3 linked regions of the Cricetulus griseus genome follow. The protein of the gene in region 2 purifies or fractionates together with the protein of the main gene of each other region. This does not show direct contact. Links are inferred from orthologs where the notes say so. Each region holds a gene or a part of one and is shown on either strand. Other genes may lie near its edges.

Evidence for each region.
Region 1: the proteins of Clns1a (region 2) and H/ACA ribonucleoprotein complex subunit 1 purify together in Homo sapiens (affinity purification with mass spectrometry; 3 studies listed by BioGRID and IntAct, counting the BioPlex papers as one, with this or other methods). This does not show direct contact. The link is inferred for Cricetulus griseus from reciprocal best matches to the Homo sapiens genes CLNS1A and GAR1.
Region 3: the proteins of Clns1a (region 2) and Wdr77 purify together in Homo sapiens (affinity purification with mass spectrometry; 6 studies listed by BioGRID and IntAct, with this or other methods). This does not show direct contact. The link is inferred for Cricetulus griseus from reciprocal best matches to the Homo sapiens genes CLNS1A and WDR77.

Annotation. Positions count from the first base shown.
Region 1 is NW_023276806.1:29,079,198-29,083,376, forward strand, and holds the end of H/ACA ribonucleoprotein complex subunit 1, read left to right. Parts: intron 1-1,809; coding exon 1,810-1,960; intron 1,961-2,953; coding exon 2,954-3,022; intron 3,023-3,356; coding exon 3,357-3,370; 3' UTR 3,371-3,664; downstream 3,665-4,179. Other genes in the region: visual pigment-like receptor peropsin, read left to right, coding at 4,162-4,179. UniProt on the Homo sapiens protein: Required for ribosome biogenesis and telomere maintenance. Part of the H/ACA small nucleolar ribonucleoprotein (H/ACA snoRNP) complex, which catalyzes pseudouridylation of rRNA.
Region 2 is NC_048596.1:101,779,418-101,782,861, reverse strand, and holds the end of Clns1a (methylosome subunit pICln), read left to right. Parts: intron 1-2,185; coding exon 2,186-2,292; 3' UTR 2,293-2,839; downstream 2,840-3,444. UniProt on the Homo sapiens protein: Involved in both the assembly of spliceosomal snRNPs and the methylation of Sm proteins.
Region 3 is NW_023276806.1:51,042,339-51,045,747, forward strand, and holds the end of Wdr77 (methylosome protein 50), read right to left. Parts: intron 3,372-3,409; coding exon 3,300-3,371; intron 2,666-3,299; coding exon 2,557-2,665; intron 2,035-2,556; coding exon 1,966-2,034; exon of another isoform or gene 1,906-1,965; intron 1,811-1,905; exon of another isoform or gene 1,674-1,810; intron 1,256-1,673; coding exon 1,096-1,255; 3' UTR 505-1,095; downstream 1-504. UniProt on the Homo sapiens protein: Non-catalytic component of the methylosome complex, composed of PRMT5, WDR77 and CLNS1A, which modifies specific arginines to dimethylarginines in several spliceosomal Sm proteins and histones.

The sequences.
Region 1 (4,179 bases), on a different chromosome or scaffold from region 2:
GAAATAGAAACCCCATTGGGAAAGGGTCAGCACACTTGGAAAAGATCAGCCATGTAGGCTGTACAAAGCCATGGATGCTGTGGGGCAGGCAGGGTTCCATGGAAATGGAGACAAGGAGGTGGGGTTGTGAACATACAGAAAGAGGAATCAGAAGAGCTTGGTAATTAACTCAGCCAACCATTTTTTAGAAGTTTGATTTCAACATCTTTGGGGATTATGATCCCACTTGGGCCCATTGGAGAACATAGGTTAAGGGAGGATAGTGAATTTCATTTCGGATACAATAAATTATGATACTTGATAATCAAAAGATGAGGACTTCATGGAAGTGGTGGGGGCTATAGGCTAGAGACAAAACTGGGAAGTTGTTGGTGTACAGACATAGGTTAGGAAGCATAGAAGCAGTAGAGCTCTTGTGAGAGCTTCTGGCCCCATCTTAAATTTAAATGTCTTAGTGCAGGCTGACACAATTGCCAGTGAACTTGGTGGGGGGGGTACAAGTATGCTATACAAACAGAAACATGAAAGTAGAATGGTGTTCAAGGGGGTGGGGTGCAGGCAGTATTCAGTGGATTCAGGAACAGGGATGGCAGGTGTCTTAAGAGCTGGTGGAGTGGAGGTTCCAGGAGCCAGATCAGAACAGGAAATTAGATGGAGACATTAACTTGCTGATAGCAAGTGGCCACTGCTTGTAGGTGACTCTGAAAAGGTGTGCTTGGAGCTGAAGAGCCTAGAGAAACAGTGCCGAGGAGAGTTTCTCATGGGGTGTGACTTGAAGAAAGAAAGTTACCTTTTAGAAGCCCTTGAAGCCATTCTGATCCCTGCCTTTCTTACTGCAGGGTTATTTGAGGATTTATTTAGTGATATATCCTCCCCAACCTCCATCCCTCATCTTCTATTTTGGTTTCCAGACCACTGCTGTCTTTGAATTCAGGTCCTTTTTACCCAGCTTAGGCTGTTACAAAGTCTAAAGATAGCATTTTGGCCTAATTGTGCTTTCCATGATGACGAAATTCCTTGACCAGTACAGTAGCAGTTAGTCTCACACAGCCCTGGACACAGGGAATGCCCTGACATGTGTCATGACCTTCAGTTTTATCCCATGCCTGATACTGTTTTAAACTTAAATAGGTCTGTATTGTGAGTAGACTGGGCAGTGCAGATTCACACAGTGCTTCTTAGTTGATACAGTGTGAGAGCTAACGAGGGGTTCTGTAGATGGTGATAGAAATGGCTTCTTAGTAACATACTTATTTCCGTTTTGAAGCCCTTCCTCATTTGGGTTTTGTATAGAAGATCTAAAAAACTGTATACCTCCTTACATTTCAATGCCTATACAATGTCCTGTTTAACCCTAAATACAGGCTGTGTTTAGTTTTTAATATCATTTTCAAGAAATACTAATGGAATCCTTTCTTGAAATAGCTACTTTGTCAAAATTTTGAATTTTAGTGCTACATTTCTGATAATTTTTCTCTTGGCAACTTTCTTTAAATGAAGATGTAGATTTTTGGAGACGTGTATTTCTAAAAAAAAAAAAAAATGACATTGAATTGACCTTAGTTTTTTGTGTATGTATACAATGTAATGCATATATTTATGCATCTTATGATATTCATGGAACTGTGTGATAGGTACTTTTGTCTACATTTTTATAGATAAGAAACCTAGGTAATTAGAGGGAAGGGAAAAAGTCCTTGCTGAGTGATGTGTGGTATAAATGGTAGTGTGGGATTTGAACCTAAGTAGTTTGGGCTGAACATACTGCCCTTCAAGTTAGCCCACTAACTGCTACTGTTCAACTTTCAGTTTTATATAGATCCATTTAAGCTGCTACCACTGCAGAGGTTTCTGCCTCGTCCTCCCGGTGAGAAAGGACCTCCCAGAGGCGGTGGTGGCGGTGGCAGGGGAGGTCGAGGAGGAGGAAGAGGAGGTGGTGGCCGAGGTGGTGGAAGAGGTGGTAAGTTATTTTGGGTTTCTAATAAGGTTTTGTAGCCATGTGTGATTTATACAGTGCAGTTTAGTTTTGCATGTAACCAGACTTCCCTTACCCTTATTTCTTTTACATATTGTCCATATCCATAGAAGTGCTTTGTTTCCACAGCTTAAGTAGGAGAAAAAATTAACTTTACCTTTGCAAGATTTCAGAGCCTTGGGTTATTTGTGTTTTAATGGAGATATTAATAGAGGCAGTCACCCATTGCTAAATGGCAGATACATTCTGAGAAATGCAGTGTTGGACATTTTTGTCGTGTACATTGACATAGATCCTCTTGTAGAGCTTGATTACTCAGCATGGCTTCTTAGTGTGGTGGAGAGTGGTAAGATGGAGGCTGATGCTGGTGAGATGGGGCAGGCTGCTTTCTGATCAGCCTTGTGAAAGGTTGTACTGACTATAGAAAGGGAAGTAAAGACACAAACTGGAAACAGTTGTTTTTAACTATTGTCAGGCATTGGGTGCTGTACACAACTATATATGCTGTACTCTTAGATGCCTAGGCTTATGTATTCCAATAGTGCTGTGAGCGTGCAAGTGATGGCTTGATCTACAATATGAGACAGTAGTTTTCCAGGTCCATTTTAATTTTAGGAGACTGATGTGTTATGCATGAAACATTATTATGTACTATATGACTGTGTAAGAATTTAACTTAATTGCGGTTTCTTAGTTATCAGCGAGTATTTTGATTATTCTTTTAATTTCTCCCAACGGCCTCCATGTGTGTGCCGTGGTAACACATACAAAAAGTAAATGTGAAAAACAGAAAAAGTAGTCATCTTGAGTTTACTCTACTGCTTCACTTGGGAACCTGCTAGTTCTTCATCTTTTAAAAGTTTCTGTAAAATACAATAGATGAACTTATAGTTTTTATAATTATAGGAATTGCACAATTTTTACAGCTTATCAGAAAATGAGAGGCTGTCATTATTTAACTCGTATTTCCTTTTTAAGGTGGCTTTAGAGGTGGAAGAGGTGGAGGTGGGGGCTTCAGAGGAGGAAGAGGAGGTGGTGGATTCCGAGGTGAGTAGGAGGATTTAAATAACTGCATTTGTAGATCGGTACTGTTGATTCCTTTCATGTTTTATTTCCCTCCCTACAAATATGGCAGACATTGGGGTGTTTGGGGCTTTAACTTACTTTATGGCTCCATTCTCTAACATTCTTTATTGATTTCTCTTAATATTTCACCAAATTACTTTGTATTAATACTGTGAAAAACAAAAAAAAATGAATATTATGAATAGCAATTGTGTTTGGTAATGTAAATGTATCAAACATTACAGGATCCTGTTGATGTTAAACCTGAGATTTGGGTACTAGCTCTGTTACAAGCCTTGATTTTTCCTTTGATCAGGAAGAGGACATTAGATGTGGCAGTTCCAAGACCTCACCACTTGTGTTTTTGCTTCGTGATCTGCTTCTGCTGGGATTGAAGTCTGTGTCTGGAGCAACCTGGAGGATGCTGCTGTGTCAGTGGAGCTGAATCGTCAGCATTGGGTAGAAACAAGTGGGGCTGAACAGGCAATGTTGCTCAGAAAGAGCATGAAGAACCCTGCTTTGTACAGTACCTGGCACTCTGTGGGTGCTTAAAGAACAACGGGACTTTTCATTTGAAGCACACTTGGCTTTTTTTAAATAAAATTTTTTATTTCTTTAACTTACTGTTTATTGAACCAAACCTGTTTTTTGAAATTTGGAGGAACAAGCAAAGCTTAAACTCATTGGATTACAGATAGAAAAAGTGGGGTACCATATATAAGCAAATGAACAACCCTCCTCTATCCCCAACAAACCAGACTGTCTTGGAACAGTACTTTAAAATTATTTCGAAATGAACTCCTCATTCAGAATGCCCTTTGAATAGGGACAGAACAGCAATGTTTGCTGTATTTCACTTTTGTGTTTTATAATACACAGAATAAAGCCGTTTTAGGAACTATAGTTTATAATTATTTTTAAATTATTATTTTGAGTCTATTAAGATTTGAGTAGCTCTGTTCGTGTTTTTACATGAGTTACTTATCTTCATTTTTTTTTTTAATTTATTTTATATGCATTGGTGTGAGGGTGTTAGATGCCCTGGCAGTCAAGTTACAGACAGTTGTGAGCTGCCATGTGGGTGCTGGGAATTGAAACCCAGTCCTCTGGAAGAGCAGCCAATGCTCTTAACCACTGAG
Region 2 (3,444 bases):
TCAAGGCTGATTTGTCCAGACCACGTACAGTCACCCAAAAGCCATTATTTCCCTGAGTTCTTTCCTGTCTGCCCTTCATGGTTGACATACTAGTCTCTGCCAGTTTTGTTTCCTGGCACATTCTGGTAAGCTTTGTCTTAAGTTTGTCCCTGAGTATTTGCTACTCTGCAAACCCTGAGAAATGTATTGGCTTTTCCCGGTGTGAGTAGTTAGGCTGTTCTTTGTTAGATAAGTGAAGGTCAAGGACTAGCAGCTGCAGAGTCCTTTCTTACTATCTGCAAAACTTTTCTTTGTAAAATTGTTGTTCTTTGTTCCCTGTAATAATGTTGTCCTTCCTTCCTTCTAAATACTGGCTGTTTCCCGGCCTGTTAGCCAGTGTTGTCCCAGTCCTTTTATCTTATTAAAGCAAGACAAGACAAAATGTGTATAGTTTGACTTGACGCTGCCACTACCATCAGTCATCTAGTTATGCTTTGACTATCCCATCTAGTTATACCTTCACTATCCCCTACTGTGATTGTGATTCAGTGTCAGAGCACTTGCCTAGCATGCTCCAACCCTTCAGTTCAGTCAGTCCTCAGCTCTGGGGAGGAGAAAATTCCCTTTTGTTCCTTGCTTTGTTCTGGTGTAGATTTCATTCTGAACCTTAAAATTGTCTTTTTTTTTTTACTTGGAAATTTGAACTTTTCACTCTTCTACTGTTTTGTTTTAGAAACCAGCCTTTAAAATCCCAGTGTTTGGGCTGTAGAGATGGCTTATTGGTTAGCAGTACTTCTTTTGCAGAGGACCCACATTGCAATTCAGTTCCAGGAGGATCTGACGCTCTCTTCCGGCCTTCACAGGCACTGAATGCACATCTATCTACACATCAATGTTTTGTTTAATTCCAGTGTTTATAAATTGTTATAGTTGTAAAACTATGAATTATAACATTGGTTCTCTGTTTTCTTCTAGTATGGTTATCAAAAAATAATAATAATCTCAAAGAAATTTTGCGCTTCTGTGATTTATATCTCATCCCATAAATATTTCCCTTTCTTGCATCTTTGCTTCTCTCATGTAGTCTGCAGGCAGCAGCATTCTCCTCTCTAACCTCAGAGGCTTTTCACTGGCGCTCGACTAGGTTCAGCTCTCACAGTCCCAGGTGTCACTAACTTCATCTTTCTACTTCGTGGAGAACCACCTGCTCCCAGTTTTGTCACCCTTCATCACACTAAGATTTATTTATTATAGCCATGTGGTGGTGGTGACGCACGCCTTTAATCCCAGAGGCAGGCCAATCTCTGAGTTTAAGGCCAGCCTGGTCTATGGAGCGAATGCCAGGGCAGGCTCCAAAGTTACATAGAGAAACCCTGTCTTGAAAAACCAAAAGAAAAGAAAAGATTTATTTATTATGTATACAGTGTTCTGCCTGAAGGCCAGAAGAAGGCACCAGATCCTTATAGATGGTTGTGAGTCATCATGTAGTTGCTGAAAATAGCCCTCTGAGCTAGCCCTCATCACAGTCTCGATAGGTTTTGTTGGTTTGTTTGTTTTTTTGCCAGTAGCTGTCATTTGTAAGTGTATTGCCTGGAAGACAGTATTTTATATAATGTGGCTTTCCCATATTTCTTTGAAAAATTGACTGTTGAGAGATTATCAATCTGTTTGCAGCTATCATGAGAAACTCAATTGATATGTCACTAATGGTTACACACTGGGATTCTTGGATTCTTTGTAATGGTGAAGTTGCTGTGAATATTCTAATGAGTGGCTGTTTGTTTTCTGCTCAGTTTATTCTCTCTGCTCAATGTCAAAGAAATACTATATCCATAAATTTTATTCATGCTCATTTGAATAGTTGACCTGATTTCTAAACAATGTGATTTTTTTAATCATTTTAGATTGTGTGTGCTTTTAAAGCCTGAACAAGGACGAAAATGTTCATGTAACTATTACTGCTTTCAAAATAATGGACCTCTGGGTGCATTAGATAGGGTACAGAATGTCGTGCAATCACAGCTTCACTGGTGACATGTATGTGCACACTACCATCAGGATGTGGCATATATATAACTTAACCATTCCTTGGTTTTCTCATCTGTCAAGTGAGGGGCTTATTACAAGGCCTGAGAAACAGTCTGGAACCCTACAAGGCTAAACAATGGCTATTAGTAATAACACCTATGAACCTTTTGTCTTTCAGATTCTCTTATAACAGTAGGCGAGAACTTGGTACCTCTTCCAGTCCAGAGTGGGGCTGGTGAAAGGCTTTTTCCTTCTCCAAAACTTACTTTGCAAGACAGACTATAATGAGACAGCAAGCTGTCACCAGCAGAAGAGACTGAGACCTTTATCAACAAAGGTGAATTAACTGAGCGGGTATTTGTGGTTCTCATTTACCCCCAAACTTCCTGGGTCTAGGTGTCTTCCAAGTAGGCCTCTAATTCCTGCCTTTGCTGTGTGCACATCTGTCAGCCAGAAAGCCTATGAGGTGAAATGTACAAAGCTCACACTGTATAGACTGGGTGAGAAAGATGCTGAGGAGAGAGTATAGGCCTCAGAGGGGGCGGGCTTAGCCTTTTCCACAGAGCCAAGGGTCCTTTACTTCAGGCTGACTCTAGGTCATCTCTGGGGAACATCTCAGCCACACCTGGACCTCAGGACACAATCCTTCTGTGCTAGCTTCTGCCCTCCTCTTCATTCTCCGGTTGCTCTATTACATTCTTCAGCTTAGGCCCTGACTGTCTGCCCTGGTAGCTTTCTGTAACATAATAAGTAATCTGTAATGAAGTCTGCAAAGTACTCTTGATGTTTTTGTCTTTGTAATAGTTAACAAATAAATCTAGGTTTTCTATACCATTGTGGTTTTGTTCTTGACTAAAACCATTAATGAGAAAAAATTCAGATTTATTATTATTTTATGTGTATGAGTGTTTTTCCTGTGTGTATGCATGTATAACGTGCATGCCTAGTGCCCATGGAAGTCTGAAGAGGGTGTTGTTACCACTGGAACTGGAGTTAACAGGCACTTGTGAACTGCCATGTGGGTGCTGGGAATTGACCCTAGGTCCTCTACAAGAGCATCAAGTATTTTTAACTGCCGAACCATCTTTGCAGCCCAGTACTTGCTATTCTTTGGAGGACCCGAGCCCAGTTCCTCCAAATCTATCGGGCAGCTCACTGCTGCTATAATGCCAACCTCTTCTGGTTTCCATGGGCACTCAGATAAACATGCAAAGACATACACCCATACACATAAATAAGTAATAAAGTGATGCTGGGGCTGGGGCTGTAGATTAGTTGCTAGAGTGCTGGTCTAGCTACAGGAAGCCCTGGGTTTAGTTCCTAGCATTTTATAAACTAGGCCTGGTTGTATATGCCTATAATCCTAGCACTCAAGAGGTAGAAATGGGAGGATCAGAAACTAAAGGTCATCCTCAGCTAGGTATCACATAAATACAA
Region 3 (3,409 bases), on a different chromosome or scaffold from region 2:
ATCATGAACTCTAAATGGAGTGGCTAGACCACCAACACCAAGTATAAATAAATGTTTAAGTTCTCCCTTAACTAACTACTTCAGGAATGGTAAAATACAGACAGCGGCAGTAAAATTGACAACATCCTGGTGACTCACCTAAGTAAAGCAGACAAAAAGTAACAACAGCTTTGGTGGGGGAAAAGGCCATGACCCAAGTCTTTAATTCACATTTCAGTATTTCAGAATTTCCCTAATGATGGATCTTAAATCTTAATAGTTCACAAATACAGCACTCAGACTTCATATCTCCAGAGGAAGGTGCCCAGAGGCAATCAGGTCTCAGGGTATCTTTAGGTGGGAAAAATGACAAAGATTTCTCTGTAAGAAACCCTGTCAGTTTTCTGACTTCACTGAAACCCCTTTAAATGTTCAATCATCCCTAAAACTTTCTATGAAATCTAGGACAGGAAAACACTCATCTCTCTCATACAACACAGAGGAGGGCAAAGGGTGAGCAAGAACTACATTGCAACAGCCAAATTTATTCACCAAGAAAATGGATCTGAAAATTCAGTTTAACATGGATTTGTACAAAACTGTGGTATTTCTGTGTCTTCTCAAGGTATACTGTGCTGGACTTTTATGGACTGAAGTATTCCCCATAATGAATTAAACTCTATATAAAAATAAGTTACCCCATCTCTGAGTGGTGGAACCACTCCCACAAATCTAGGGATACTCACATTCCATATCCCAGACAACATATCCAATTCTTGGACTTGGGAAGCATAAAACTGTTCTCACTTTGTGGGAAATAAAGAGCAGTGCTTTGGGAAAGCTGAAGAATAATTTTCCCCACCCCAAACTACTTAATACACTCACACACATGTGCTCTCTCGAACACATATACCCATTTATATAAAGGAAGTTTTCCCTCCTAGACACTATGGGCTGCAGCCTCCCTCAGGCTGAGAGTCTGCCTGTTTATTGCACGGGACTAGGGAGTAACATGCTCTACAAGGCTCCTTCCTGTGCTCTCACAATACGGAGGCAGAGGCAAGCAGATTCTTGCAGGTGGAGGGCTATTTTTTTTTTTTTTTTCTGAAATCCATTCTACTCTGAGGCATTCTCAGGTCCAGGGGCTGGGAGAGGCTCAATGGGCACAACATGGTGGATGACTTGATGGTCCCAGCCAACTGTGGTAAGGAGGGAGTGGTTAAGTGGAGACCACGTAGCATCTCTCACGAAGTCTCTGTGGGCTCGACTTCTAAACCTGGAACAAAAGTGGGTGTGTGGTAAGAGATAACACAAAAACCGAGGTGGGAAGAAGACAGAAAGAAAACCTAACATAATCAGGACACATTGTTTTTAAACATTTCACCATTTGTACAGCTTATCACCAGGACAGTGGATGTTCAATCCAATCCAGTCTACTTTCCTAGGGGAAGAAATAGTATGCAGAGCAAAGAAGTAGTATATCTACAACCAAGCAGGAAGTCATAGCAGAGAGAGATGTACACCGGGGTCTTCCTTCCCATGCCTTTCTCTCTATAGCAGGTTTCACTTCACAGCAGGGGTTCCCTCCGTGAAGCTGGGATGCTAGCTAGACTTAGCCTACAATCAGACTGCTTCCAGTGTTCAGTCTCTGCAGACACACAGACACAAATGGAGAGAACCTCTACAGACAAAGATGGAGAATTTTCTTCTATTTATTTCTAATAATGTGTAAGTGGGTATGTGCACCCAAGTGCAGAGGCCCACAGAAGCAGAGGCATCACATGCCTTCGATCTGGAGTGACAGACAGCTGGGAGCAGACGGATGTGGAAGCTGGGAACAAAAGGAAGTATTCTTAACTACTGAGCTTTTCTCCAGTCCCAACAAAGGAAGAATTCTACATGCAAGTTCCTGAAGACAAAACAGACCTGCTTGCCCATTGGTCTTGATGCCTGATTCCTAACCACAGGGTTCTACTTCAAACTTACACCTCAGAAAGGCTTGAATCCAGCACAGCAATTGAGCAGTCTTCACTGAGAGAGGCCAGAAAGGGAGCACTAGGAGAGGGAACAAAGGGGAGAGAAGATAAAGCCTAGATTCCATAACCAAAATCTGACTGCACCAGCCCCAAACTCACCATAAACTGAGCCAGGGGAAAAGGCAGCCTGATACCCACCTTTGGGTTAAGGTCTTCCTGCCATTATAATTCCAATAAAAATGGAACAGAGACAGTACTCATAGAAACCACCCTGGTAACCAACTACCCAATGGGTCCCTCTCTACATTAGCAATTACCCAGAATCAGGCTCCTTAAGCACATGGTGCCAGAAGCCTAACATCAATCAAGCTGTGTTGAACAGGTATGAGATCACATTTCAGCTGTTTTTAGACTATGCAACCCTAATAAGAACTGTACTGACTAGCTTAGGAAGACCAAGCTCGAGTACTTACATTGTTCCATCTAAGGAACAATGTAACCAGCTAATGCTGTGCCAATAGATACATTCCTTATCACTCCATTCCTACCCCTCACCACTGGCCCAACCCATCCCTTCCAAACCCCTGATGACAAACAGTACCTGTGTGGAGAGAATACCAGCCTAGTGACACACTGGGAGTGCACAGCTGAGCTGAGGGTACTGCTTGCATTCTTGGTGTCCACAAGAGAGACAGATCCATTCTCATCACCTGTTGAAGAAACAGCATGTTACCATGGTTAAGAACATACACTTCAGGCTGTCCACAGTCAAGCACGCCTTTAATACTAGCATGCAGGAGGCAGAGGCAGGAGGATCTATCTGAGTTCAAGGCCAGCCTGATTTAAATAATAAGCTCTAGAACAGCCAGAGCTACATAGAAAGACCCTGTCTTAGGAGAGAAAAGAACAACAAAAACCTTAGGCTTTGATATGCCAGTCCTGGATTTGCATGAATCTTAGTTCCTCGAGATATGGACAAGTTCACCACCCAGAGCACCAGTTTCCTTTTGTAAGGTAGGATAAGCAAGTTACTGTGTGCTGTGACAATTACTGGATACTTATTACTTTAACTACAAGCTGTTACCATATGCAGTCATACCCACATAATTCCCTAAACAGCAAAGCTGCTTGCTAAGTGGCCCAATGATTTCTAATCATGCCGAGAATAAGGGAGCTGGATCCATGAGGAATCCAATCTACTAGGAAAAAATTATGTCCCCCAAAGCTAAACAAAACTGCTCTAATTCATGTAGTGCTGAAGTGTGTTGACAAGAGTGTGTACACCTCGAAGGTAGCGCTTTCCCATCCTCCCGTTCTCAGAGTCCATATGTCATGCTGCCTTACCAAAGACAAAGACATCACTCTGCTGAGGATGCCAAGCCAGGGAGGTAGGAAGGTAGCCAGAAGCATTGCAGCCTGGAAAGGACAAAAGGGAGGTTTGGAACAAAAGCAGC